4 linked regions of the Elephas maximus indicus genome follow. The protein of the gene in region 2 purifies or fractionates together with the protein of the main gene of each other region. This does not show direct contact. Links are inferred from orthologs where the notes say so. Each region holds a gene or a part of one and is shown on either strand. Other genes may lie near its edges. The genes, in order: PSMG2, PSMA5, PSMF1 and PSMG4.

Region 1 (6,868 bases), on a different chromosome or scaffold from region 2:
CATATGGATTGTTTCCAACCATGGGCACAAGACAATCGGTATAAAAGTAACCAACCTTAAACATATTCAGCGTGGAAATAATCAGATCTATTGCAAGCTGGCCAACATTTCCAACGGATACTGCTGGCTGAAATCATAAAAGATATATTCGATAAGTCATAAAATGTTAGCAACACTTTTAAAATTTAGACTGAAAATAATAATCATAGTACTAGTACTGAACGCTTATGCTTGGGTATATCACAGCTAAATACTGACTCTTTCATTATCTATAACTGTGATGTCAGCTGAGGCCTCCTCCACCTTTCACACAATTCATTTACCAAATATTTACTGAGCACCTACTATGTGTCAAACGCTGCTCTAGGCATTGGGGATGGAAAAAAAAAAAAATCAGAAAAAAAATTACTGCCCTTGTGGAGCTTCCTTTCTAGTGAGGATGTGGTTTACCCGCAATAAACAAAATAAATAGGTAAAATATATAGTAGTAAGTACTATGGGCAAAAATAAAAGAGAGAAAAGGGATATAACGTGAGTGTATATGTCCCTGTGTGCAGTTGTTTGTAATTTTAAATTGAGTGTCAAAGAAGACTCACTTCAGGTGCAAAGTGACTACTATGGAACTGAAGGAGTAAGGAAGAGAGGCATACAACAACCTGGGAATGAACATCCTAGGAAGTGGGAAAGTTGTGAGGTATGTACAAAAGCAATCTTGGGTCTTCTTGTACCACTTTCTTTGCCCACATCTAAAGGTTAGAGTGACCTTTTCACACTAAACACACACATACTTATCCCCATGACTTCAAACAGCCAACTGAAATCTCTGCCTACAGCTGAGAACACTTACTTGAGCTCTAGCAGCTAATGGATATCTCTACATGGTTATGCCACAGGCACCCCACATTCAACATGTATAAAACTAAACAACTGCCCAAACCTGTCCCCATATTTTGTATTTCAGAAAAGAGCAACACCATTTACCAGATCACCTAAAACAGGAACCTTCTTCCCTTACCAGCTCTATCTAACACATAACTGATTTTCATTGATTCTTTCTCTAAAGTATCTCTTTAATGGAGTTACTTCCAACTATTGCTCTTTACCGGCCTTCATCCTATTTTGCTGGGCCACTCACAGTGGTCTCCCACTGTTCACACCTGTCATCAACCCTGGCAACCTCCAGTAGTTCCGTTTTTCCTCTCCAAGACTTTGTTTCTTTGGTTATACTCTTTCTCCTGTACGTTGAACCTGCCAGCTACCCCGTGGGAGAAAAATGTGGCAGTCTGCTTCCACAAAGACTACAGCCCTGCCTGGTCCTCACATGCCCCTCTATCTCATTTCTGTGTCCCCACAAAGCCAATACCTCTAACCTTTGTCCTCTGAAACATGAGCAGGAATTTTATTGCTGAACGAATACATACAAATCTCCACATCCTCTAACTCATTCCATAAGCTGCAGCATGGGTTTCCTCTCCACTGAGAACTGTTTGCAAAGGTTACCACCCACATCCCACATGTTGCTAAATCCCAAGCGCACACTTCCTCGTCTTACACATTCGCCTACTTGTGACAAACAGGTATTCTCTCCTTCTTTCAACACTCTCCTCTCTGGCTTCATGTGCTTGATATTTAATGAACAAAAGGACGGCTGTTCACTCTTCAGCCATACACCACTTCCAACAGCGCCTTCTGCAAAGGTGTCTCTTGGGCTCACAGGCCTGCAGCCTATTATCTCTCAATGAGTCATTCCCAGTCCAAATCCTCCAGCTCCCCCATGCCGGTGTGTCTCTGGGGTAGACATCCATTTTCCTGAAATGCCCTATTCCTGCCCCCCAGCCCCCAATACCTCACTTTCTGGGCGTTAATTTCTTTAGGAAGCATTTGAAGAAAAAGCCCTGTGCCCACTCCTCCTCCCCACAAGTCTTAGGGCCTGTCAGCAATCTTTTCAAACTTGCACCCCAGCACTCACTGCCCTCGTCCACTGACGCGTTTCCAGGTAGACTACGAACTCCTGTGGACAAGTCTTATCCTAACATTCGTACGTGCCAGAATGTTTACTGAAACACTGCATGAACGTGGCCAACTGCACAAGCGATAAAACCGTGTTAGCTACTGGCAAAAAAGTGACTTTTATTACTACCACTGATTTTAATACTTTTACAGTAAACTCCCATTTGCTTAAATTCAAGCTAGTAAACGACATGGTTTAAGGTTACATTTATGGTTTCTTAACAGAGAGAACCTCTGGAGAACAGCATTACTTTGCTAGCTTAAAACCGACCTAGAAGTAGCTGGGAAGACCTCTGAGGGTACACTTGAGGACGATACCCTGTACAACCCACGCAGCCCAGCAGCTCGTGTCACAGCTAACAGACGGACTACCGACTCGCACAAGCCCACAGGTCCACGAAGGCTCTCGAGAACCGCCGCCTCCCGCGACAGACAGCCTCTGCTGCCCCTTCAGTGAGGGCTGACAACTGCACAGAAACGGCCCCTCTCTCCCCCGACCCTGCGCGGCCCGAGCCCGGGGGATGAAGCCGCCGGCGCCTCCGGAGGCCGTGGCCCTGCGGGGCCGCCGAGAACTCGCCAGAGAACCCACCATCAAGAGGGTGAAGCCCGTGAGCTCGGGCGCCGGGTCCACGCAGGGCACAAACATGGCCGCAACGTGGGGCTGAAGGAAGGGACAGAGCGGGGGCGGCGGCGAAGTCGACCTGCCTGCGGCCCGAGCGGCGGGAACGCGGAGCGGGAACAGCGGGAACGCGCGGAGAAAGGAGCAGACAGGACTCGAACGCGGCCGGGCCGGCGGGGTCCTGCGTCCCCTCGGCGCCAGGTCCTCGGAGGCCTTCCAGTTTAACTGCCTGCGCGGAAGGCGGGAAGAAACTGCGAGGGAACGGGAAACGGAAGGGCAACACGTTCGGAGACCCTGGAAAGGCTCATCGGCTGGTGTGTGGAGGCTGCGGGGGCCCGGGGACACCCGCTCCCGGCCGCTCAGGCGGCGCTGGGGGCACCCCGGGGCTCGCCGCTCCGCTCCCCGGCTCCGCCCCAGACGCCCCGCCCCGCCCCGCCCCGCCCCGCCCCGCCCCGCCCCGCCCCGTCCGGCCTTAGAGCGCGCGCGGGGAGCTGACGCGGTCGTCGTTCGGAGGCGCTGTCGCGGTAGTGGTTCGGCGGAACGCCGGCCGTTGGGACTCCCAGGCCGGGTAGGAGCGGTGGCGAGGCGCGGCCGGCGACATGTCCCTGCCCGCGGAGAAAGCCTCGGAGCTGAAGCAGCTCATCCACCAGCAGCTGAACAAGGTGAGGGCGCGCGGGCTCCTCCGTGCCAGTGTCGGTCCTCGGGGTTCGGGCCGGGCCGTGGGAGCAGAGGTCGGAGCGGCAGAGGTCGGAGCGGGAGAGGTCGGGGGAGCAGAGGTCGGAGCGGCAGAGGTCGGAGGGGCAGAGGTCGGAGCGGCAGAGGTCGGAGGGGCAGAGGTCGGAGGGGCAGAGGTCGGAGGGGCAGAGGTCGGAGGGGCGAGGCTTGGGTTTGCAGCCAGGAGAGCTTTCTGGCCTCGCTGACAGAGACTCGCTGAGGAAGCGGGAGTGCCGGGCTGCGCTGACGGACGGGTCGGGTTCTGGGGGACCGTGGTGAACAGGAAGTGTCCGTCGAGTCGCTGCAGGAAGTCAAACCTGCGCTTGGATCCCGTGTTTATACTCAGACTTGAAAAGTCAGAATCGGTTTAAGGGTGAAACACGAGGGTGCCGTTGAAATTGAGCGGGTAGCTTAAACCAGCAGTTCTCAAAAAGTCATAGAAGAGAAGGCGCTAAAGTCTGTAACAAAAATATTTGTGATGCTTTGGAGCAGGAGAACACGGAATGTTCGGGACACTCAACTGAATGCAATAAGCTGATTTGAAAAAACCGGGCATTTGAAATATTAATAAAAGCTGCCATGTGTTGTGCACTTGTACGCCAGGCTTTGTGCTGGGTGTTGAGCATCTGTCATCGAATCCTGACCACCAACCTGTGAGAGGGCAATACTTTCCTCATGTTATAGACGAGGAAGCAGGTTCAGGAAGGGTAAATAAGTTGGCACGAGGTTACACCTCTAATAAGTTGAAAATAAATTCAAACGTTGATTTATCTACTCCAGGTTCTTTTGATGTTACTGTATTTCTTTTTAAAAGATACATATTTTACTTGAGTCTTGTTTGTGCGGAAAAAGTAACAGATGACCAGTAGAGACTCTAAAAAATTTGTACTGAAAATTTCATCTTTTTTTTTTTTTCTTAAAAACAACGAAACCACTTGCCCTTGTTTTCACTGAATTGTGGTAACAAGTTTACAATTAACTGGAGAAGCCTGAAACCCAAATTTCCTAAGTTTAGTCTCTAACATCCCTGTTATTTTTTTTTTTAATAACATTTTATTGTGTTTTTGGTGAAAGTTTACACAGCAAGTTAGGTTCCCGTTTGACAATTTCCACACAGATTGATCAGTGACGTTAGTTACGGTTTTGAAGTTGTGTCAAGATTCTCCTTAATTTTGTTCTGATTGTTCCCCGTTTTTTTCTTTATTACTTTGATTTAGTATTTTAGAAAGAAACTGGTTAATTGGTAATATTTGGCTGCTTTGATACATGTGCTCTTCAGGAGAAAAAAAATTGTAACGTGAGTTTTCTACGTAGATGGATGTCCACGGCAGAATACGAGAAATCCTTGCTGAGACTATACGTGAAGAACTGGCACCTGATCAACAACAGTTATCAACAGAAGATTTGATCAAAGCCCTTAGACGTAGAGGAATCATTGATGATGTGATGAAGGAACTGAATTTTGTTACTGTGAGTAATGATTTAGGGAAAAAAAGTTGACAGTGTAAGTCTGTTCTCATGCTTGACAATGTTTATAGGGTGCATATTTGGGGCCTCCTTTTAATAAAACCGCTTTAAACCTTTTTGTCTAGTAATACCCTAGTTTCAAGTATTTTTTTTTTTCAAGTATAAGGTAGCTCTACGAATATAGCAAATAGTATTATTTGCTATAATATCAGTGAAATTGGAGGGGATTCCACATTCCTGTCTGTATATTGACAGAATTTTCTCGTTATCCTCCAGGTCTACAATTTTAAATGCACATATTTTAGTCACATTACTTCATCATGTTATTAGGTGCCATCCAGTTGGTTCAGACTCATAACGACCTTATGTATAACAGAATGAAATGCTGGTCCTGTGCCATCCTTATAATCTTTGATATGTTTGAGCCCATTGTTGCAGCCACTGTGTCAGTCCATCTCACTGAAGGTCTTCCTCTTTTTGGCTGACCTTCTGGTCTGCCAAGCATGATGTCCTTCTGCAGGGACTGGTCCCTTCTGATAACATGTCCTAAGCACAGGAGATGAAGTCTTGCCTCCTGGCTTCCAGGGAGCACTCTGGCTGTATTTCTTCCAAGACAGACTTGTTCATTCTTCTGGGAGTCCATGGTATATTTAGTATTCTTTGCCATAACTCAAAGGCATCAGTTCTTCAGTCTTCGGTATTCATTGTCCAGCTTTCACATGCATATGAGCCTGTTGAAAATATCATGGCTTAGGTCAGGTGCATCTTAGTCACCATAGCAGAGTTCTTTTTCATTAAGATTATAGTGTAATTTTTTTTAGATTGACGAGCTTATTTTTAAAATAAATGCATTTTTTGGGGAGTGAATTTTCTATGACTAACAAATTATAAATTTCTTTAAGAAAATAGTGTGACTGCTTAAGAGCCCTCAAATCTTTTCCTACAAATAGGTCAGTAGCAGAGTGATAGCCTCTCAGTACATAATTAGTAAGTAGGCCTTTTGAAAATGAGGCAATAATGAGAAGCTGTGACCTCAATACCTGGATAACCTGATGTAAAAATTGGAATGGATTTTATAATACACGAAGGAATAAAGTGTTTAATACAGCATCCTTTTTTAGTTTTTGAGGTTTAGAAACCTATTTATTATTAAAAAATGACCTAGTAACAGCTTCTGCTGTGTGAATTACACTTCCTTGTAAAAACCTGCTCATGACCATTCATAAACCAAATGTTGTATGAGGTTTAGAAAAAGTTTAGCTTTCTTTAAGTATTAAGGGTTTGTATTTAACACTTCTGTTTGTTTGAAAACAATTTCTTAGTGTTAGATTTTTAGGAGTTACAAATTATATTTTACGTAAAATTTTATTTTCATTGTTTTAATTATGCTAGGAAAATAAAGGATTTCCCTGTGGCATAGTGGTTAAGAGCTCCGGCTACTAACCAGAAGGTCATTGGTTTGAATCCACCAGGTGCTCCTTGGAAACCCCATGGGGCAATTCTACTGTGTCCAGTAGGGTTGCTATGAGTTGGAATCAACTAAATGGCAATGGTTTTTTTTTTTTTAAATCCTAGCTAATTCTGGTTCAGTGCTTATTTCCATTATTGGCATTTTCTTGGCTATGCATAACTTGTTTTCTAATTTGTTCTGATTTTTTTTGTTTTGCCTTTCTAGGACAAGGTTGATCAAGAACTCCCTACCTCTCCAAAACAACCTGCTTGTTTTACTGATAAACAATCAACGTTGTTAAAAAAAAGTATGTGTTTTGTTTTTTGCATTAATTTAGCTACAGATTGTAGTGGATTTGTTGTAGTGTTTGGTATTTAATAGAAAACATTTCAGGTTTTTTTTTCCCCAAAATGAAATAGTTAAGTATTTGTGGTCAGTCAGCCAGAAAAACTTAGATTCTGTCTTGCATGAAGTGTATCAGAAGGTTTAACCCATAGCACGGTGGAAGCAAAAATAGAAACACCTGCTTCATATATTTTATTAACAAATCTTATTAAAAGCTATGCAGCCTTATGTTTTTAATGGTCATGTAATTAGCTGAGAAGTAC
Region 2 (7,616 bases):
AGGATAGGGTTGCACAGCTGATTACTGTAATTGCTGTCGATAGTTGTACTATACCTATAAAAAGTTATATTGGCAAAAGTTGTGTGGCAGTCGTATTTATTACAACAACCAAAAAAAAAAAAAAAAGGGCAGCTGCTGAGGCTGCTTATGTACAACCAAAATCTTCATGGGATTTGGTTTCTTGGTTTGGAGGTTTAGGGTCATGCTTTCATAGGACATCACAGTTAACTGGCATAATAACTCCTTTCGTGCTTCTGTTCTACCTCCTAGTTCTTTGTATAGTGCCTGGGGTCTTAAAAGCTTGCAAGCAGTCATTCAAGGAACAACAATTAGTCTCTATTTCCCTGGGGCAACAGAGGAAGAATTCTTCAGGAACAGAAGGAGGATATGGAATGTGTGGCTAATTGCCTCCATTAACAACTGCCTCCTTGCCATGAGACCAGACAACTGGATGGTGCCTGGCTACCATTACTGAACATTCTGATCAAAGATTCTACAGAAGAATCCTGATCCAGAGGGGGAAAACGCAGAACAGAATTTCAAGTTCTCATGGAACTTGAGAACTTGATTTCCTGGGTTCACAAAGGTTAGATGAACCCCTGAAACTACTACCCTAATCTTTAAACCATAAACCAAAAAACATCCCCAGAAGTCTTCTCAAAACCAACAATAATTTAGCTTAACTAGGAAAATGCCTGCCTTGAGCATTATGTTTCTTAAGAACTACCTATAGGGGATCAAATTAACAACAGTAGCTTGAAAGATCAGATAGGAACCTTACAGGGCAGTGAATTTATATTAATGGGGGAGGAACAACTCAGAAAAGGAGAATGAGAATGATTGCACAACTTGCAGAATATAATCAGTGTTGCTAAATGGTACATGTAGAAACTGTTGAATTGGTGTACGTTCTGCTGTATATATTCTCAACAAAATAAAATTGAAAAAAAAATTAATGGCACACAGTTGCCTACAGACTAAGACTCAAACTCCTTAAGCTCATATTAAAAACCTTCCAATATCTAGCACCATCCTCTTTTCCCCATATCTCCTGCTATTCCCATACACGTCTCATATGTGCCAATCAGACTGGGCTTTTCCCAGATGAGCACTGTGCTTTCCCGCTGCCACTCCTATGTTTATCCCATCTCTGCCTGAAAACTATTTACTCATTAAAATCCTACTCTTTCTCAAGACCCAGTTTAACTATGAGCTCCTTTGGGAAGTCTTCCAAGATTCCCTAATATTGAATGGAATCTCTCATGGAAACACCTATAGTGTTGATCTGAGTTTCTCTTATGATGTTAATATGTTTGTCTCATACTACCGTTACTTTTGTAAACAGCTCTTTAAGAGACAGTCTCTTGTATGAGGAAAGCTTAGCGGCATAGTGGTTAAGTTCTATGGCTGCTAACTAAAAGGTTGGCAGTTCAAATCCACCAGGCGCTCCTTGGAAACTCTATGGGGCAATTCTACCCTGTCCTATAGGGTCGCTATGAGTCGGGATCAACTCAACAGCAGCAAGTTTCTTTTGTATGAGGGCAAGGATCTTGATTTTGTTCACTAGGGTATGACCAGCACCTGGTTCATGTCTTGTACACAGCAAGCACCCAAATACATTAGCTAAGTGAATAAGGGCTGTATCTTAGGCGTTCTTGGGAAGACACGAAGATGAGTAACACAAAACAAATGATCACAAAACCTTAATAAAGTGTTTCTGATAAGGATAACAATTTTCATCAAGTACGCACACTAACTCAAAATTACATCACCCAAAGATGATTCTCTTGAAAGCTCTGGAAGCTAAATTTGACTAAGTCATTTTGTACAACAGTTGTAAGAAAAGATGTCAGTTTTTAAACTTCACAAACATCTTTCATGAGTCAGATGATAAAACTTTGACAGGGCAACTGTATACCTGACAAAAAATACAACTTGTCAAGCAACCTAGCACAAAGAAAACACCTGGCTTTTTTGAAACTTAATAGCTGTGTGAAAACTGATCAAAACAGAAACTGAAAGTAAAAATGTCTACAGCATGAGCATGTACAATTTAAAATTACTCAATATCCCCAAATCCTTTTTTTTTTTTAATAAACACAACAATCTCACAATCTTGACTTTAGAAAGCATTAGACTGGTCTTCAAAAACACACTAAAATTTACTTGCTTTGAAACTGAAAAAGTAAAAAAAAAAGTCTAGGTCAAATGAAATCAGCATGATGAGAAAGCTCTCGAGAAGCACCCTAAATTCTCGTTCCTATAAGATCAGACTCAGTCATTTCACACATCTGGGCACAGCTGAGAATGCCTTTGCTCTTTTGAAGGAACCATACATCCCAGCATGCTCTATTCCCAAGATTAAGGAATGGAAAACGAAGTTGTTCTCAGATAAGAGGGGAACTAAAATTATCAAATCCATTTGATAATCTTCAGTTGCTTTTTCTTCCAGGCAGCAAATTTTTTAAAAAATGTTTAAAGGCAGTCAAAACTCTGCACGAGAAAGATGAACTGAGAGGGGAGTGACCCCCGGCCTTCTCCGGGTGAAAGGTCGGAATCCCGATCCCTCTGCCTTCTTCCCTAAGCACAAACCGGAGCTTCTCGCTTCCGCACAGATAGGACCCCAGCAGTGACTCAGCGGTAGGACACGTGCGGCCAACTCGCCCAAGCCCGGCTCTAGGGGAACACGGGGGACACGGGGGACGGTGGGGAGGGCAAGAAATCCCCCGGCCGGGCCAGACTCGGTTCCTGGGGGCGCCCCATGACATGGCAGAACCCAGGCCAAGGCTGGGCCCCAGGCCTGCCCACCCTTAACCCCGACCCAGCCTCCCCCCGCCGCACGGACCTGTCGTACTCAGACCGGGTGAGGAACATGGCGAGGGCAGGAGAAGGCGGCAGTGGCTACTTGGAGATTCTAAGGACCAACACGACTCCACCAGCACCCAAATCACCCACACACGCCCCAGGACTAAGGGCCCTGCTCCCAACTGCGCGTGCGTCCGCGACCCCTTCAGCCCGCCTTCTTCTGCCTGTCTCCTATTGGCTGGTCGCAGTTCTCGCCGAGGTGATTGGGCCAACGTGCTTCCCCGCTAGGTTTCAGTTGGTCCAGGGAAGGCGGGACAAGGGTCACCCTTCCGGTTTCAATGGCTGCTGGTTGCTAGGGGCGCTTGGAACCTGAGTCGCGAGGGAGAGCTCGCCTTTTAGGGAAGGTGTGAACCCCCTCCCCCCTCAAGAGTGGCAACGCAGGAACCTTATACAGAGACTTCGGTTGTCTGAACGCTGGTGTGATAGGTTCTTCGCCGGATCCCGTAATCCAAACCAGTGCACACTGGTCTCTTTTCAAACTGCATGCTCACTACCTCCTCACCTCTTCGAGCTCTGGCGCGGTCTCTGTCCTCAGTGCTGCGACGAGGGCCCCAGGACTCGACTTGCGCAGTGATGGGGTGCACTAAAGTAGGTCTCAGCGGGCGCCGTAGGCGAGCCCATTCGCTTTAGCCAACCCTTACCCTGGCTTGTTTGAGAAAAGTTGGTAGGTTTTGGTCTGTAAGAAAATCTTCAAGTTTCCGCATAATTAAGGTAATTTTTCCAGCCTTTCCTTAGACCTCCACCCCAGTACAGGTTTCACACATTTCAACCCAGAGCTCTAAATTCGAGACTCAGATTGCGCACTGCTTTTTCTGTTATTTCCGAAGAATTGGCTGACAATGCCTTCTTGCTTGCCTTCTCTTGGGGTGAAAGAGCAATTTGACAGCTTCATAAAAACACTGTAAATGAATTGTTTTTTCAAGAAAGATAGTTAAGTCATTTAACAGGCAGTATATGACTGAAGGAGCCCAAGTAGCTCAGTGATTAAGAGCTCAGCCACTAAACAAAAGGTTGGCAGTTCCAATCCACCAGCCGCTCCTTGGTAAGCCCTATCCGGCAGTTCTACGTTGCCTGTAGGGTGGACGGCAAGAGGTTTGGTGTTTTCTTTTTTGGTTTTATAAGACTGAAGGAGAAATGCCAGGGTTCCACTTCCAGCTATTAACATGATACCACTGGTCAAGTGCTTAACCTTTCCCAGCCTGTATCTGTCAAATAAAGATTACACTTGGCCCTAGGTTAGGTTTGTAGCTCACCAAGGCATTTCAGTAGTGGGGAAAATGTACAGATATGCCTTTTGGGTATTAATATCTGTTTTTCTCATTCATTTCCTCGCTTCCTTCATGAATTCAGTAGAAATTTAGTTTTGTGGGCCCAAGCCAATCAGATGTGTGGCACTAATTAGACTAAACAGAAATTCCAACCAGCAGTCCTTAGGGATCTGTTACATTTCTGAGAAAAAAGAACAGTATTATTTATCTTTCTTATCTGCTAATGTGGCTGCTTGATTATCTAGTGTTGCTATAATAGAAATACCACAAGTGGATGGATTCAACAAACAGAAATTTATTCTCTCACAGTCTAGGAGGTTAGAAGTCCATTCAGTACATCAGTGAAGGCTTTCTCTCTCTGTTGGCTCTGGAGGAAGGTCCTTATCATCCCCTTGGTTGAGGAGCTTCTCAGGCCCAGGGACACCGGGTCCCAAGGACACGTTCTGCTCCCAGTGCTGCTTCCTTGATGGTATGAGTTCCCACCATATCTCTGCTTGCTTCTCTTTTATATCTCAAAAGAGATTGGCTTAAGACACTATCTAATCTTGAAGATTTCATCAATGTAACTGCTGCTAATCCATTAACATCATAGTGATAAGATTTACAACACAGGGAAATCACATCAGATCACAAAATGGTAGGCAATCATGCAATACTGGGAATCACGACCTCGCCAAGTTGACAGACATTTTTGGGGGACACAATTCAATCCATGACAGTGGCCATAAACGTTGGTCATAAATTCACAGCACTTGCTCTTTACAAGCATTTTTGAAATGACTGTATACATACTTGGAAACCCTGGTGGCGTAGTGGGTAAGTGCTACGGCTGCTAACCAAAGGGTCGGCAGTTTGAATCCACCAGGCGCTTCTTGGAAACTCTATGGGGCTGTTCTACTCTGTCCTATAGGGTCGCTATGAGTCAGAATCAACTCGACGGCACTGGGTTTGGGGTGGGTATACATACTTAAACATAATATTTCCTGAACATGGAGGGATGTAAGATGCTCTACAGCTCCTACTAATATCAGGTAAGGTAGTGAATTGTATCACAGGATGTACTTCAGTGTGGAAACTCTTCTGGGTAAGTGTGTTTGTGCTCTATATAAAGTTCAGGGTAGCCACAGGTAGCTGGGTATGGGTAAGAAAGGAAATTTTGTTTTCTTTCTAGAGAGTGGATGTGATGTCATAAAAATCTAGCACCTAGCATAAAGTTTTGACCATGAATGCTCGATAAATAATTGTTTCATTAAAAGTTGGACCAGATGTTCCTCTGAGAAAAATAATAGAGGAGCCATAAAACCGACCTTTGCCGTTGAATCGATTCTGACTCCTAGCAACCGTGTAGGACAGAGTAGAACTGCCCCATGGTTTCCAAGGAGTGCCTGGTAGAATCGAACCTTCTGGTTAGCAGCCATAGTGCTTAACCGCTATGCCACAAGGGTTTCCAGGGGAGCCATTGAAGACAGAAATGAAAGAATATAGTAAAAACACGAGAGAATGATCTAGACTCAGAAACTGACAAAGGTAACATAAACATCTTGGAGAGCTAGACACATGGATCCTGGAGCAAAATGAACTGTGGCAGAATGATCAGGGCAGACTGGAGACACTGTCCAACTAAAGGAACCAGTAAGAATTCATCCCCAAACTAGATCCTTTATGTACTTGTAATTGTCTAACTTATAAATATTTCTGATTGTATATAAACTAGAAATTATACTTTTCCAAAAAGGTGTCTGAAAATGTGTGTTAATGTCCTGATGACTTCTTATAAAGAGAGAGACAGAAGAAAAGGTTCAGGTGATGTTCCTAAGACTAACCATGAAAGAGAGCACCTAGAACTTTAGGTGGTAGCAGCAAAAGCAGGGAGTTGGCAACTTGATGCTGTAGACACTACCTAAAAAAAAAAGTAATTTTAAAAACCTTGTGGTGTCTCTTTGAAATAAATGAGATAAGAAATCAGTTATGTAAAAGTGAAGTAATTGAAATGTAAGCTCTTTGAGGACCAGTACTGTGTCTTATTCAGCCTACCACCTGGCATATAGTAGATGCTCTAGAAATATTTGTTTAGCAAATGAACAAGTATTTATTTGTTATAATTACACGTAAGGCAAGGATAGGGAGGATTTACAACACGAACCTTCCATGTCCCAAAAAGGCATGTACTACCCTCCCAAGTGCATCCAATGTATTTCACCAGCCAGGAAGCCAGCAATTATTTATTACTCTAGAAGTGTACTAGTCATGTAGAGATTAACATATGTGTGAATTGGTGAATGAGCAAAGAATCCAGTATTTCAGATTGCCACTCTTAATTTTTAAAACTAGTATTTTTCTCTCTTTCCTTTTTTTAAAAAATAAAACAGACAAAATTTTGTGGTTCACAACCTTTTTAGGCAAAATACTGAGAGATGAGAAAGATCTTTGCTCCCTGGAGAAATGTCATTTAGGCATTAATGAGAGTTCTACATCCAAATACAGAACTAGAATGCTTAGATATTTTGCTTATTTGCTTTTTTCCTGCAAATTCACAGAGGAAGGAAAATCATCTAATTGAAAGCTGCCATAATTATTTTAGAGATGAAACACAGATGTCTAAACTATATTGTAATAAAACATGATAGTTTTCCAACTGTAGAGTAGAAGCCTTGCCACTCCACTAGAAGTAAATGAAACAGTTTGGTAAAGTTAATAGTACAATAAATATTGAAAACACTCAGATGTGTTAACAAATACATAGGATCACTTTATGTCAGACATTCCTGGGTAAATGGCAGAAAATACACTTTACGTGAAGAGTTTTCTAAGTGACTTGAAATCAATCTAGGTCCCTTTACTCTTTCTAAATGTTATATCCCCCACATCCATCTGTCCACATTTATCTCTTGTAGCTACAATTTGTTATTTACATAAAAAGATATTTTAGAGTTAGCTATTTCACCCCATGTGTAATTTTTTACCTCAGTCATTTTCTAAGATGTTTTAAAATAGCAAAGGTTTTTAGCTCAAGCATATTGGAAGGTTTAACTAGCTTTGATTCTTGCAAATCTCTCACGAAATAATAATTGAAGAAAGAAAGTAGAATAGAAATTGCCAGGGGTTGAGGGGAGGTAGTAATAGGGAGTTATTGTTTAATGGGTATAGAGTTTTTGTTTGGGATGATAAAAAAGATCTGGAAATAGGTAGTAGTTATGGTTACACAACATACTGAATGTACTTAAAACCACTGAATTATACACTCAAAGAATTGTTCAAATGGTAAATTTATGTAAATTTTATTACAATAAAAAATTTTTTGTAATAAAAACAAACAGCAATATGTTGTTATTGTTAGGTGCCATCGAGTTGGCTCTGACTCCTAGTGACCCTATGTACAGTAGAGTGAAACACTGCCCAGCTGTGCGCCATCCTCAGAATTACTATGCTTGGGCCCATTTTTGCAGCCATCCTGCCAATCCATCTTGTTGAAGGTCTTCCTCT
Region 3 (7,072 bases), on a different chromosome or scaffold from region 2:
GAGGCACCTTCCACCTGCTTCCCTTCTCAACCACTTGCAAACCCAACAGGGCCAACTGAGACTCTTGCTGAGGGAGGTAAGTCCACAGAAAGTGCTGGGTGGACCAGGGGCAAAACACAGACAACCTCCAGCACCAGGGGAGCCCCCCATTTGCTCCTATCCCTAGAGGACCTTGGGATCCAGGGTGGAGGGAACACAGTCCTGACCCTCAGAGGACTCACAGCCTAGCGCATGAGACAGAGCTTACCTCATTCTCTCAATACACAGGTGCTAATGCTACTCCAGAATGGCTGCTGGGTCACAGACTAGGCTAAGGAATGGCTTATCCTTAGCGGGGGCACACCAGACACCGTGTGCCCCGCTCATCCTTCAGTATTCACCTCTAAGCACCAATGGCCGCTTTCTGTAAACTCTCCAACTCTCTACCTGAGGGATTTCTCTGCTCCCAGAAGCAGTCCTCAACTGGGGGCAGACAGGAAGGGAGTGAAAACACACCCCAGTTTCCTCACCCTCAGTTCGGATACTTCTGAGACTGTTCCATACTGCCTCCCAGAGTTCCCCAGCAGGACTGAGCTTTAGTTGCCCATAATGGTAAGTGGCTTGATTAATACCCTCTATTTTTTTTTCATTGGTTGCCTTCTTTCCTTATCTCACTTCCCTACTCCCCTATTGCTATTTCCAGAAATCTGTTCCCAATAAGCCACTTGCACTCAAATCCTGTCTCAGCATTGGCTTCTGAGGGAATCCAAACTAAGACAGGGATAATGATGTATAATAGGGAACCAAAGTTCTGTGAGGTGCCTGCCCCAACCAATTATATGCAAAGCAGCAGTGGTCCCAGGGATGGGGTTTGGGGGGCTGTCTGCCCACTGCAGGCAATGAGAGGGAGCTTTGTCTGTAAAAAACTTAAAAGCAGTAATAAAGCTGACCAAACGGTCTACTTGTTATTATCACCCTGGGCCAGCAATTCTAAACAATTTTTTGTGATTAAATTCTCCTCCTCACTGAGGCAGATAACTCTCACTGACCTCTGCCCGCCCCTTAGCACCCACCCCGAGGCAAAGTGTACTCAGCCAGTAATTCGTAGTAGGCAGAGAAGGTAAGGGAAGGCCTCACTAGGAGGCAGCACTGACCTCTAATCTCACCATTCTAGCTGCATTTCACAACTCTAGGCCTTTGCATATGCTATTCTCTCTTACTAGAACACCTTTTGTTCTTCAGTTTACTCCCAGAGCAGGCAATGAAGGGGAGCATTGTCAGTAAAACACGTAAAAGCAGTAATAAAACTGACCAAACGTAGGTCTGCTTTTTGTTGTTGTTAGGCCAAAGGTTCAAGGAAGCCAGGCATCTCTTCCTCCAAGAAGCCCATTCCTCATCCCCAGAAGTTAGATCTCTCCTCTGGGCTTGCACAGACCCCTGTGTGCCCATCTGTCAAGGCAGTTGTCACGCTAGCTACCTTCGTCATTTCTTACCACTAGATCGTCAGCTCCATAGGAGCAGGGACTCTGTCTTGTTCATCTTGACCTGGCTCCCAGTAGGCACTCAGGAACAGGGCTGCCACTGGGTGTGTACATTTTTTGCAGTATATAGCCTGCACCACTGTCCATGGCAACCCAGCCTCTGGAGGCTTGTTGACTTAATGAATGAACGAATCTGTGGGAATTTGCCGTTTCTGGGGAAGGACACTGCAGGCAGAAGGGAGTGCGCAAAAACAGGGAAGCCTGAGAGTGCAGGGCTTCTTGGTGGAAAGAGCAGATAGCTTTATGCCACAGATAGTACGTATCAGGGAGAGGTTCTGGGACACCACCCTCAGCATCACCCAGAGTGTGGTCAACATACCTGCACCCCACCTCAGAGCTGCTTGGCCAGAATCTTTGCAGATGGGGTTTGAGAACCTGGGCATCCCAGGGTAATCTCAGGAACATAAAGTTTGGAGAGGCACAGGGCCAGCTGATTGGTGGACTGTGAAAGGGTGAGACTGGCCTGATTTGGTTGAGCTCAGGATATGAATTCATTCATTCATTATCCACTCATTCATTTAATAAGCATGTATTGAGCCGTATTGAGCCCAGAAGACCCTCAAGTACAGCTGTGAACAAGACAAACATGGTTCCTGCTCCCTTGTCATGGTCTAGTGGGAAGACAGTCACTAAATAAGCAAGCAAATAAATGAATACCTAATAGTGTCAGGTTATGATTAATACTTTGCAGAAAAGAAAACAAGGTAAGGGGTTAAAGAGTAGAGGAAGTTATTTTCAATGAGGTGGTCAGAGAAGATGTCTGAGGCTGGTGGGTGAGGGAAGGAGTCATTTAAATGAAGAAGCAAATCATGCAGATGTTTGGGGGAAAAGCAGTGCAGACAGAGAGAGCAGTACATGCAAAGGCCTAGAGAACTAAACATGTGGAAGAACATACACAGTAGGAAGCTACTGCAACAGTCCAGGTGTGAAATGCTGGAGAATCAGACCAGGGTGGAGGCAGTGGAGTTGGTGGGAAGTGGCCAGACTCAGAATATATTTTGAGGGTAGAGATGACTTGCTTCGCTGTTAGATCAGATGTGGGTGTGACAGAAGGGAAGGGAGGCAAGGCTATTGCAGCCAGGAGCGCAGGGGTTGAGGAGATAGTTGAAGGAGATGAGGTCCAAGAGGGAAGTGGCTGGGAGCAGACCATACGTAGGTCCCTGCAGACCATGAGGAGGTCTTTACTTTTCCTTTGAATGTTATGGAACTTTGAGAGGCTTTTGAGCAGAGAGGGGACATGATCTTGAGTTCTAACAGACTCTTTCAGGCTGTGGAGAAGATAACAGACTGTAGGGGGTCAGGGATGGAGGAGGGCACTTCAGAGGCTGATGCAGTCATCCAGTGAGAGATGATGGTGGCTTAGACCAGGGTGCTGACTGGAAGGGAAATCTAAATTTATTTTAATAAAAACTGTAAGAGGATTTCAAGAAAATTATTGAGTAAATAATGGTGGTGAAAATCATGAAGGTGGTAGAGAAATGATTGAAATTTGAGAAGCTCCGGTAGTGAATCAAAGGTCCCTGGGTGGTATAAACTGCTAGCTCGACTGCTAACTGAAAGGCTGGCTGTTGGAACCTACTCAGCGCGGCTGGGAAAGAAAGGTTTGGCGGTCTGCTTCCGTAAAGGTTACAGCCAAGAAAACTCTAAGAAGCAGTTCTACAGTGTAACACATGGGGTCGCCATGAGTAGGTATGACTCCAGCGTAGTCATAGGACAGGTAGTAGTAGCAGCAGGTAGTGGATCAGGATAGAGGTCAGCAGTTGTGCTCTTTGGGGGAAGGGGCTTCAAATCTTTGAGTAGTTTTGTCATCTGCAAAACGGGGACAATAATGGAACATATCTCATAGAGTTGTTGAGAGGATGACGTAAAGGTTTTTGGCACAGGATCTAGCACACAACATACGCTTACTAAACGCTATCCTAGGAGCCAGACTGCTGTCTCTCCCACTCACTGAAGGGCCGTGTCACCCTAGTCAAATCACCGCTCCGTGGGTATCACTAACACCAATATCGTAGGCTTGGGTCATAAAGATTAAATAAATGAACACAAGTGAGGCATTTAGAATACGGCACGCAGCAAGCACTTCTTAACTGTCAACTATTATCATGACTATATTTTAGGCATATTTCCTTACCTCATTGATTAACAGCTCGGCTGCTAACCAAAAGGTCGGCAGTTAACCCACCGGCCGCAACGCTCCTTGGAGAAACCCTACGAGGTAATTCTACTCTGTCCTATGAGTCGCTATCAGTCAACTCGTCGGCAACAGGTTTGTTTTTTTTGTCAGTTTCTCCCTTTTGCGGATGAAAAGTCTGTGGCTCTTTGTAAAGGATTCTCATCACACGGACCCAACGCCCTGAGAGTAACGATCCAGTCCGCTGCGGGCGAGATGGGGATTCCAGTTTTGAAGGGCCGCGCCTCCAGCCGCCAGCCCAGTCCGGAGGTCGCCGGAGGAACCTTAAAGCGTGGCGCTCTAGTTTCCAGCCGGGACCGCGCAAGGGCGCCCGCGCGACGACGTACTTCCGACGGCCCCGCCCCTTCCCCGGACAGCTCCATTTTGGCCGTAGGTGGAGATTGAGCTAGAGCGAGCGGAGCAGAGAAGTGTGGAGTCGTCTGTTTTCGGAGTGCTGCTCCGGCTCACCACACTCTCGCCCTTCTTTCTCCCGCCCGCAGAAGCTGCGGGCAACCATGGCGGGCTTGGAGGTGCTGTTCGCGTCGGCGGCGCCGGCCATCACCTGCGCGCAGGACGCGCTCGTCTGCTTCCTGCACTGGGAAGTGGTGACGCACGGCTACTACGGCCTGGGTGCCGGCGACCAGGTACGATGCGGAGCCTGGGGGGAGGGAGGTGCTGTCTTCTTCTCAGACCCAGAGGACCGGAGGCCGGTCCAGAGCGCCTGCTGTCCCCGCCCTCAAGTCCGAGGCCTGGGGCTCAGGACACCGTTGGCATAGCCTGCGGTTCACGGAAGTGCCCACCTGCCCCAGCCCACGCCGGAGCACCTCACAGCACAGCTGGCACAACATGCTTTGTAAACTCAAGGACAGAAGCTCCCATCAGCACAGCCTGGCAGTCTCCCCAGGCCACGGTTGTGTGGACCTGGCACCGGGACTGGCTGTTGCTCCCTGAGCACAGCTCACCTACCTGAACTTCGCCCAGCTTCTTACCATACAAGCTTAGGGGAGCAGAATCTGCACACATACACCCTCATACTGTTCTCGAGCCTCCAACAGACACCCAGATCCGCGCACGGGTATGGAGATCAGAGCTTTGACCTTAACACAGCCCCAGCCCAGAATCTCGTCTTCATTCCTCAGCGTGGGTCCGGGGAGCTCCCCTGCTCTTCACTGAACGGCCTAGTTCAGACCTCACCGCTGAGTGCACACATACACCGTGGGTGTGAGGGCCAGGTAATGTTCCCTCCCCAGAGCTGTCCTACAGGGCCGGCCACTCTTGTTGCCCACTGACCCTCTGCCCACCCCAGCGCTAAGTCTGCCTGTCCTCTGGGAGATGGGTGTTTGGATTGCATACCGACTCTAGTGTATTTTTGCTCCGCTCCGTCTCGTGGGATGGTATCTACTTTTTCTTCTTAAGTGGCATGGAGGCTCAGGTTACACTTGTCCTCTACGGACTTCTGCTGAGTCTGCTTTCATTCACAGTAGAAGTTACTTGGAGAGGCGTCTTCTCTGTTAGTTTATTTAAGAGGGGGTTTAATTTTCTGGGTTGGGGCCAGCAGACTGCTCAGAGGGCCAGTGTTTGCCAAGCTCAGAGCATGTTTGTGTTCCCTCTTCAGATACCTCCTGCTCCCCACCCTTGTGGGGGCGATAAGAGAGGGGAAGGTCCTGAGAGAGTGTGTGTGACTGTATCATTTCTTGATAATTAAATAGAAAGCTAAGTGGTCTACTTTTTTGTTTGGTTTTGTCTACTCTGGTACAAGTTGTGTACACAAAACTTAATTAGTAGAGCAGCGCAGCCATTGCTTCAACAAAAGTCCAGTATTGGAATTTCTCACTTGAAGTCAGCACCTCATAAGAGCTTTATTAGCAGTGTCAAGTGGTTTAAGTGGCAGGGGATAGAGATTTATAGACTTAAATTAGGGAATTTTATTTTCTGTTATGGGAATGTAAAGATTATGATGAAAGAGGGAAAATGCCTCCATGTGCATTGCTTTGGGTGCATTCGGCCCGGAGGCGCTGGACTGAACCCATTGCCACTGATAACTGGTTCCAGCCCCCAGGATTTTGCCAAAGGGGACACTACCGTTACTCTCTTTGGGCCAGCCTGGTGGACCTGGCAGGGAATAGCTCCCCTCCAGACTTAGCCTAGTCAGCCAGAAGCTCTGAATTCCAAAGCCAGATGCACCTCACTTGCTGTGACCTTGGACAATTCTCAGCCTTAGATTTTTCATCCCAGGGAGTTAAACTACATGACCATGCACTTTGGCTACTTTCCAACCTTCGCATTCTGGGAGGTCTGATATTTGATGTCAGGGCCTAGAGGGTGGTTAAATGCTGTGTTTGGCTAGATATCTCCAGAGCCATTCCCTCTCAGTTGCACCTGTTTCCCCGTGTTGGGGCAGCCCAGGCCGGAACATGGGTTCCAGTGTAGTGAGAGGTTATCAGCCTCTCCCAGCCTCAGGATTATCTCTTCCTCTGGAAGCCAGAGGTGATGGGGTGGTGAGCAGACCAAATTATCTATATTTCAAGAGAGAGTTCTGGTGGATTGAGTGATGTACGTGTGAAGATGTAATATAAACCAAAGGGCCCTCGACAGAACAAAGACAAACCATGTTATTAAATTTCTGGGTCCCAGAGTAAACCCTGAATCTCCAACAGTAAACATGTTACCGGGGCCCTGGTGGCACAGTAATTAAGAGCTTGGATGCTAACCAAAAGGTCGGCAGTTCAAATCTACCAGCCACTCCTTGGAAACCCTATGGGGCAATTCTGCTCTGTCCTGTAGGGTCGCTCTGAGTCGGAATCGACACCACCGCAACTGACAACAACGAACATGTTACAGGAAGTCTGCTGAGGGGGTGGGGCGGGTGTCGACTTTCTCCCTTCGCTGAGGGGTTTGGTAAGTTTCCCTTTGGTTTTGTGGCTCTCATTTCTGTACCTCAGGCCTGCGAGTTTCCTTGTCGTCCAGCCAGATTTTAAACCCTGCCGGCTGTGACTGCCTAATGCTTCGCGCAGTGAGTCCCTGAGCACCAGGGGTGCCCAAGAGGAGAAACTCGAAGTTCGCGTTTCCTGCCCTCCCGTGGCCCTTGGCCTGTGGCATAAGGCCTGGCTTTGCTGGCCCTTGGCTTTTCCCTTCGTCCTTTATCTCTGATGCCACTCTACCCCCCGCCCATGGACACCCGTACATGGACACAGGTCTCCCCAGGTCCGCTGCTCCGTGTCTAGCTATATAAATGTCCATCCCTGAAAAAAATACGTAGTCTGTTCTGTGTTTGTTGTTTTATACAGATGATGCTAGGCTGTCAACCTTGATTTTTCTGAACTTGTCTGTAAATTATATATTTTACCTTTACCTACAACGGTACACAGATAGATCCAGA
Region 4 (7,741 bases), on a different chromosome or scaffold from region 2:
GGAACCCCTGTGCACTGCGGGTGGAACTATAAAATACCGCAGCCACTGTGGAAAAGTTTGGCAGTTCCTCCAAGAGTTAAACAGAGAATCACCACAGGGCCCAGCAATTCTACTCCTAGGTGTATACTCAAAAGACCTTAAAGCATGGATACAAACGGATACGTGCACATGGATGTCCAGGCATGCAATGTTACCAGTCAGTGGATATGGACCTCTGACAGGTCTACTAACTGAGGCCTGTCCGTTTTCCCGCCTCACCCTTGAGGACTTTAAACTTCCAGCTGGGAATACAGACTACTGGTAGCTATGACTACCAAGTGATCAGACCACCAAAGCAGGAGGAGCCATTACTTATTGCCCCCCAAACCAGAACTGCACAAAGGGACACAAAGAATCTGAAACTGGGTTCGAGTAAGCAATATCTGACCTTACAGTCCTGCGGCCCTGGGCTCCCAGATGGCCTCATATGGCCTATGGCCTCGCCTGCTGTTTATTACTAAAGCCTCAGGACTAGAAAAAAATGTAAGGTGGATACCACACCTCCAAATCCACAACCCTGCCCATCACTGCCCAGACCTCCTAAACCCACTGACTCCTTGAATGAAAAGAAAACCTGGAATTGCCACATGCCCAAAGGCCCACCTGCCAGTACCCACCAGAAACAGAGGTAAAAAAAACACACAGGAGAGGAAAAACCAAAGAAAAACAACCCGTTGTTGTCGAGCTGATTCTGACTCATAGCAACCCTACAGGACAGAGTAGAACTGCCCCCATAGTTTCCAAGGAGCACCTGGTGGATTCAAACTGCCAACCTTCTGGTTAGCAGCCATAGCTCTTAACCACTACGCCACCAGGGTAAAAGAGGGATATAGTATCCCAATTTAGATGCTGTCTCCTTCTGGAAACTTTCTTGGGTCCTGTCCAGGGGTACTGTCCTGCAGATAGAAAGGCTCACTCCTCTCATTTCCCACTGCCCCTCGTGACCCCTCAGAGATTACAATCCTACTTCCTCACTGGCTTTGGGGTACTGGTAGTCTCCCCCCATAAACCATGGACAACCAAGGGATATGGAGCCTCATTCATTCACTCTTCCAACAAGTATTTCATGAGCAGCTTCCATGTGTCAGGCTCTGGGAATACAAAACCAACACAGGCAAACCTCACAGTCACCGGCACATGTATTCTAGTCGGGGAGACAGACAACACACTGCAGAGGGGACAGCGAATGGAGCATGCTGGACATGGCAAAAGAGCAAGGACGTCAGAGTGTGTGGAAGAAGATGAGAGCTGCGGGGCAACAGGGAGCCAGGTCATGTAGAGCCTTGAGATAGTCTCTGGATTGCACCCTGCCTTTGCTCTTGAAAGGTTCTGAGGAGAGCAGTGAAAATATCTGACTTCAGTCTTAAAACTACCATCTGCTGTCCTGCGGAGAACTGGCTATGAGGCAGCAAAGGTGGAAGCAAGGAATGGAGCCATGATGATGGAGGCTTGGCTCAGGGTGGGAGAAGTGAAGGAGGTGATGGATGGTTGGATTCTAGATGTTTTGACTGACAACCAAGCCCACTGCTGTGGAGTCAATTCCAACTCATGGCAACTCAATGTGTTACACAGTAGAACTGCTCCATAGGGTTTTCTTAGCTTTATGGAGGCAGAACACCAGGTCTGTCTTCTGCAGCGTCACTGGGTGGATTAAAACTTCCAACCTTTAGGTTAGTAGTTCAGCACAAACACTTTGCACCACCCGGGGACCTCTGACTGACCACAGTGCTTATGAATTCACCAACATTTGGAAGATGGAACGTATGAGCAAGAGGGCTGAAGGACGACTGCCAGGTTTTTACCCTGAGCACCCCGAGAGGGGGATGGCTGTGGGATGGACCGGTTTTCGGGGGAAATACCCAGAGTCTGGTCTTCAATGTGGAAGGTGTGAGATGCCTGTTAGATGTTCCGGTGAAAACACACAAGTCCGAAGTTCCCGGAAATAGATCTGTACTGGAGATGTAAGTTTAAATCAAAATATAGATAGTATGAGCCCTAAGAGGCAGCATCCCCAGCGAGCGAGTGACCAGAAAAGACCAAAGATTGCAGGATAAAACTCTGGGACATTCCAAACAACCTACACAGATGTGGATGGAAGGTGAGGAAACCAGCACAGGGACGGCCAGAAAGGTAGAGGGCCTCCCACTGTCTCACCGGGAGGGGCACGGCCGGCCTCCATGGCCCACGGGGCTGGGGGTCTGCTCCGGGGTTCCCTAAGTCTGCACCACAAGAGTTCCTGAGGGCCTTTCTGCCCCGAGGGCCCCGCGGACCTAGAAGATGTAGTAGGAGTAATTTAGGGGTACCCGCGCACCCAGACACCAGACCCCTGAGGGTCCTCCTACCCCTGTCTGCGCCCCGCCCCCGCCGGCCCCGCCCCCCACGACCCCACCCTTCTCTCCACACCCAGCATACCCTCCCATGCCCCGCACCCCTACTTCCAGCACCCCCCCCACACCCTTCACGCCCAAAGCCCCGTCCCCCCGCCAGCCCCACACCCCTCCCCACGCCCAGCGCGCAGCGGCCCCGCCACGTCGGCCCCACCCCCATCCACGCCCCACCTCCACCCGGCGCTCAGCGGCCCCGCCTCCCCGGCCCTATCCCCGCCCCCCGCCCAGCGCGCAGCTGTCCCATCCCCGCCGGCCCAGCCCCCGACGACCCCACGCCTCTCCCCACGCCCAGCGCGCAGCGGCCCCTCGTCCCCCCGACCCCGCCCCTCCGCTCGCACTCACGTAGCGGTTGCACATGGCGACGGCGAGGTTGCGCAAGTGCGGCGTGGCCCCAACCCACAGGAAAAGCGAGTCCGTCAGCCGCATGACGTGAAAGTGGACGAGTTGCTCCCACAGCCTTGCGCTGAAGTTGTGCAGGGACACGTCCCCGCCCGTGACCGCCTGCGGCCCCTCCATTCCCGCGAGCGCCGCCTCCGTAGGTCCGACCAGAAAGGCGCGACGGCGGGGACGCCGGGCGACCTTTCACTTCCGGGTTCCCGGGTGGGCGGGTCTTCCCGGGGCAGAAGCTCTGGCGGTCTTCTTCCGCTGGGGTCAGGGGCTTTACCTCGGCCTGCCGCTGGCTTTCTGTTCTTGGGCGAGTCTGGCCTCTGCTGGGAGCACTTGCTTTCACGGATGTTCAGGGTTTCCAGCAGAACTTGCTCTCAGTTGTTCCCTCTACGCCCCCCATCCCTTGCTGGTTGAGTAAAAACTGCTGAAGCCAGCCATAACGTCTTTAGGGGTCATGAGACGTCGCCCTTAAGAGACAATCGCTTTCTAATTAAGTTCCTTTAAGAACAGCTACTTTCTATCATAATATGTTTTGCTTAGCTTTGGTTTATCGAATCCTCATCCTAGCAGCCCTGTAACTGGAAGGAAGCCTTAAGAATGGCATCCAGGACAATTGCATTAAATAAGTTGTCAGGAGAATGTATAGGCACCGTTTTTGGTCCAGTTCCCTTCTCCCCCTGAACTGGATCGTGGACAAGCACGAGCTTTAGCCTAACCTTTCAACCTTTCTCAAGACCCGGTTTCTTTGAGCCAGCTTTCACAGTGCTGTATTAAAAATCATGTTTTCTTTGCCTGGCTTCCTTTCCCACAGTGTTGTATTGAAAACTCTCGTTTCCTTTGCTGGGCTTCACCTCCTCTCCCTTTCCTCCTACCACCCAGTGTCCCCCAGCCCAGCTTTGCATTTGAATCCTGCTTTTGCTCGGAGGTTAAATGTAAACCCCATTGGGCCTTTGTAATATGATTAAGAATGTTGCTGATGTAATTTGTATGAACTCCCTACTTGTAAACGACCTTTAAAAGTAACTGCCTGTCTGCAATTGGTGGGCAGTCCTGGTAGCAGCAGCTCGGACTGTCTCTTTTTCCTTGTACAATGAAATGTAGGTTCCTTTCCTGTTCTGCCACCTTGGTCTCTTGTTTATTGGCCAATAAGAGTCATGCTGAGCAAGAACCTGGGTTTTCCACCCAGCAACATTTCTGCCAAGCCAGTCAGGAGCCATCTGCTTAGTTCCTGAAGTGGATCAGAAAACAGACTGACCCCAATGTCTGGCTCAACCAGATTTCTCCTGGAGACCTTGGAGCAGCTCTGAAAAGCAATTCCCCCTGGGACCCAATCTTTGGCTTTGTGAGAGACATGAAATGTGCCTGGGTTATTTGGTAAGTACCTAGGTGTGGCCTTACAAGAGTCCCAAGAAATGGGAGAAATTGACCATTGAGGGCGTTAGAAATCTGAGGTTATTTGGTAAGTAACAGGATAATTCCTAGCTAAGGCCTTAGAAGAGTCCCAAAGAAGCGGGACGAATTGACTGCTGAGGGCATAACAAGGCTCAGGTACCTGTTAAAGTGGTGCACTAGATTAGGTTGTGTGGGTGTGTAAGTATGTATATCCAGAGAATGGGGAACATTCAAGGGGTCCCAGAATCCGGCCTGCTAAGATACATCCTTAAGAACTGGGAACAGAGACTCAAATAGACATGGTTCTGGCAGCATGCTTGTCCCTTTCTTACTTTTGCCCCTTTATATACTGAATAAAACCTTTCTTTTTGCTTTATTAAACTTTGTGGTGTTTTCCCCCTACAAGAGTTAATGGTGTAATTGCTGCAGGGATTCTAAAACCATGAATCCAGTCAACCTCGAGGAGACCTGGACTGTGGAGCAGAAGCCGGCAAAAAGAGAGACCCTATCTTCTGGACCCAAGCATTTGCACTCCATGTCCCTTTAACAGTGGTGGGGTGAGTGCTCTCAAAAAACGAGCTTTTGCTTGTTTTTTTTTTTTTTCCTTTTCCTCATGTTTTCTTAAGTTTTGTTTAGCATATTTGTTTCTAAAACCAGTTGTTTGATTAAGGAGGATCTTTCTTACATTTTTGCTTGACCTTTTAAGAGTGATATCTAGTAACTCTTGGTGAACTGTAGTTTAGGTCTGGATTTGGGTATATGAAACATTAAAGAGGTAATTCTATTTTCAAAGACCTCTGAGCCACTATAAGCCACTAAAATTCTGGCAGGTATGACCAGTAAAAAGCCTTTAGGGTGGTCACTGGTGCTTATCATGAATTTTAAAGACTCCCATGAGGGGATAAGGTGGTCGTGACACAAGCTAGAGCACTAGGCTGCCTGCCACCTGCAAGCAAACTCTCGCATAATAAAGGTACATGTTGGTCTAAGCTAAACACTGTCCAAACCCTGAGGCCTTCCTCATTAGGTTTCTTTTTGTGGCTCAGAGAAAACCTGGAAAATAGTGCCCTGTTTTGCCAAATTTTAAGGGGAGGTGGCAGCTCCTGACCTGTGTTATGAAATTCACAGGGAGAAGTGGTAGCTCCTGATCTGTTTTATGAAATTTAAGGGTGAAGTGATAGTTCTGTACCTATTTCATGATACAGTTTCTCAATAATCACAATGTTAAAATCATCAGTAGCTACCTTAAAGTAATTTCCAGTTGGAGGAACTAGCATATTTAAGGTCTGAAATAAGAGACTAAGTCTCTAGCCAGTAGAATGAATTAAGTTCAAAAAGAAGGAAACCAAAAGTTTGAACCTTAGAGCTTAACATCTTTGATAAATAAGCCAGGATTTGTCCCCTGCTTCCGAGACAGTGGTTTAGGGTTCATATTTATATACACTTTAAGAAACTAGAATGCCCATATCCTTGTTTTGTGTGGTATTCAGTGAGTTCATGTGGTCTTCCTCTCTCATTCTGTTCTGAGAGCTTGCTTTTGGTCTAGAGCATTGTGTCTAAGTTTCTGTTTTGTATCAGGTTGGAGGCGATGGCTGAGAATTGCTGTTTTTTTGTAAGGCTGCCTTAGAACCTCAGCTCTTTTCCTCATCCAAGAAAAACTGTCTTGTGTCTGTCTTATGATTTAGATTTTTAGTAGCTATATTGAAAAACTTTATGGTTAAGTCTATCTTAAAGGTAAAACCTTTCTAAGTAACTTAAGCAACATATTTTATTTAAGGAAAAAGAATAATTTTGTCTTAACGTACAACTGGTAGTTTCAGAGTGGGTAAAAGGAAGCATAGGACAAGCCTAGGGGGACAAAATGGCTAGCCAAGAATTGATTAATTCATTTACAGAATTGCTAAAGAGTTTTGGTATTACTGGGTAGACAGCCTTTCAAAATGTCTAGATCAATTTAAACATATGTAAATGAATCGGAATGGCCTAATCTTATCTTCTACCATGAGTCAAAAACAGGGAGGGTGGGGGCAACATCAGGCCCCTCAGGTCCCCAGTCTCCCAGGTCATATAGCTCCAGGAAACTTACTATAAAAAAACGAAAACCAAACTCATTGCCATCAAGTTGATTCCGATTCATGCTGACCCTATAGCACAGAGAACTGTCCCATACAGTTTCCAAGGAGTCCCGGTGGGTTTGAACTGCCAACACTTTGGTTAACAGCCATAGCACTTAACCACTACACCACCAGGGTTCCCATAGTTATCAGAAATTGGGTGGATCCCAATCATAAAAGAACAGTAAACAAGTTCTCTTTACTGTAGGGGAACTTTAAGAAGCCAAAAAAAAAAAAAAATAGAAATCACAGAGACTTTGTGATTTCCAAAGCCAGTTGATAAAATCTTTAGGGGCTAAAATTAGATTGGGAAAATATGGGAAATAATAAAAGTTGAATGAAAACTTAGAATGTTTAAACAGACTTTCTTTCAACAACAATTGTGTTTTATGGCATACAGGCTTAAAATAATTTCTAGGACCTTTTAGTTAACTTACTGATGTTAAATTGAGTTTATAGATATTTGTCATAATTAAAGCTTATATACTTTTGTTTTTTATTTCACGAGAGAAAGGATATATGTAATTATATGTAAAATATATATTTTTATATATATGTCTGCTAATGAATGTGTTTATTTTGCGATTTTAAAAGAAAGTACTGTAAGATATGCAAAAAAGACAATATTTAAGAGGTTTATTAAAAAGAATTTTGTTATTTGATATGGTCCAAAATTTTATCTGACTAAAGTTTAATGGTCTAATTTATGAGATTTTTTAAGAGCTTTAATGTTAAATAGCATATAAAACAAAGAATTGGGTTTCTCGCTATTAAAATTACAAAATTGTCTTCGATTTCTGAGTTGAACAGTTAATTTATTCTTTGTGTAATCTGCCTCAAAGACAGAGGTTTGCTTTCTCGTTAGAATAAGATTCCTGAGTTGAAAACCAAGCCACGTGACTTTAAAAATAATAATAATTTTTTTTTTTTTAAATAATGTTTTTACTTTAAGATCTTTGGTTAAATAACCTAAGTATTATTTCATGGTGACCTATAATAAACTCTTGATGACTCTGAAACTTCATAGAAAGCCACAAAAAATTTTTATAAAAGTGCTAAAAAGCTTTTGCTAATAAATTACATGGAATGTGTAGTCAAAATCAAGAGAAACATCTGATTCTCTTTGGGTCAGAATTTATATGTTAATATTTCCTCTTATGTTTTTGCCTAATATTAGATAGCAAATGCATAATATTATGCCATAATTTTATTATTATTTCTTTATTGGTAACCTGGCCACAACTTTATTTTTTTGAATCTAGCATCAAAGCCAATGGTTTAACTAGGGCATTCACTCTGATGACCTGTGAAGTCTTTTTATTACTATTCAGATATTCAGAGACTTGATAATCTTGGTATATTCTAACTATATGGTATTATATCTCAAAATTATTATGTAGTATATTATATCTGAAGCTCTTT

What was found.
Region 1: the proteins of PSMA5 (region 2) and PSMG2 purify together in Homo sapiens (affinity purification with mass spectrometry; 4 studies listed by BioGRID and IntAct, counting the BioPlex papers as one, with this or other methods). This does not show direct contact. The link is inferred for Elephas maximus indicus from reciprocal best matches to the Homo sapiens genes PSMA5 and PSMG2.
Region 3: the proteins of PSMA5 (region 2) and PSMF1 purify together in Homo sapiens (co-immunoprecipitation; 3 studies listed by BioGRID and IntAct, with this or other methods). This does not show direct contact. The link is inferred for Elephas maximus indicus from reciprocal best matches to the Homo sapiens genes PSMA5 and PSMF1.
Region 4: the proteins of PSMA5 (region 2) and PSMG4 purify together in Homo sapiens (co-immunoprecipitation; 3 studies listed by BioGRID and IntAct, with this or other methods). This does not show direct contact. The link is inferred for Elephas maximus indicus from reciprocal best matches to the Homo sapiens genes PSMA5 and PSMG4.

Annotation. Positions count from the first base shown.
Region 1 is NC_064829.1:9,170,362-9,177,229, forward strand, and holds the start of PSMG2 (proteasome assembly chaperone 2), read right to left. Parts: upstream 3,015-6,868; 5' UTR 2,657-3,014; coding exon 2,600-2,656; intron 128-2,599; coding exon 1-127. Other genes in the region: CEP76 (centrosomal protein of 76 kDa), read left to right, coding at 3,229-3,291, 4,658-4,813, 6,486-6,567. UniProt on the Homo sapiens protein: Chaperone protein which promotes assembly of the 20S proteasome as part of a heterodimer with PSMG1.
Region 2 is NC_064821.1:172,144,473-172,152,088, reverse strand, and holds the start of PSMA5 (proteasome subunit alpha type-5), read right to left. Parts: upstream 3,002-7,616; 5' UTR 2,875-3,001; coding exon 2,846-2,874; intron 1-2,845. UniProt on the Homo sapiens protein: Component of the 20S core proteasome complex involved in the proteolytic degradation of most intracellular proteins. This complex plays numerous essential roles within the cell by associating with different regulatory particles.
Region 3 is NC_064843.1:39,188,559-39,195,630, forward strand, and holds the start of PSMF1 (proteasome inhibitor PI31 subunit), read left to right. Parts: upstream 1-4,058; 5' UTR 4,059-4,208; coding exon 4,209-4,337; intron 4,338-7,072. UniProt on the Homo sapiens protein: Plays an important role in control of proteasome function. Inhibits the hydrolysis of protein and peptide substrates by the 20S proteasome. Also inhibits the activation of the proteasome by the proteasome regulatory proteins PA700 and PA28.
Region 4 is NC_064819.1:44,001,330-44,009,070, reverse strand, and holds the start of PSMG4 (proteasome assembly chaperone 4), read right to left. Parts: upstream 3,014-7,741; 5' UTR 2,943-3,013; coding exon 2,769-2,942; intron 1-2,768. UniProt on the Homo sapiens protein: Chaperone protein which promotes assembly of the 20S proteasome.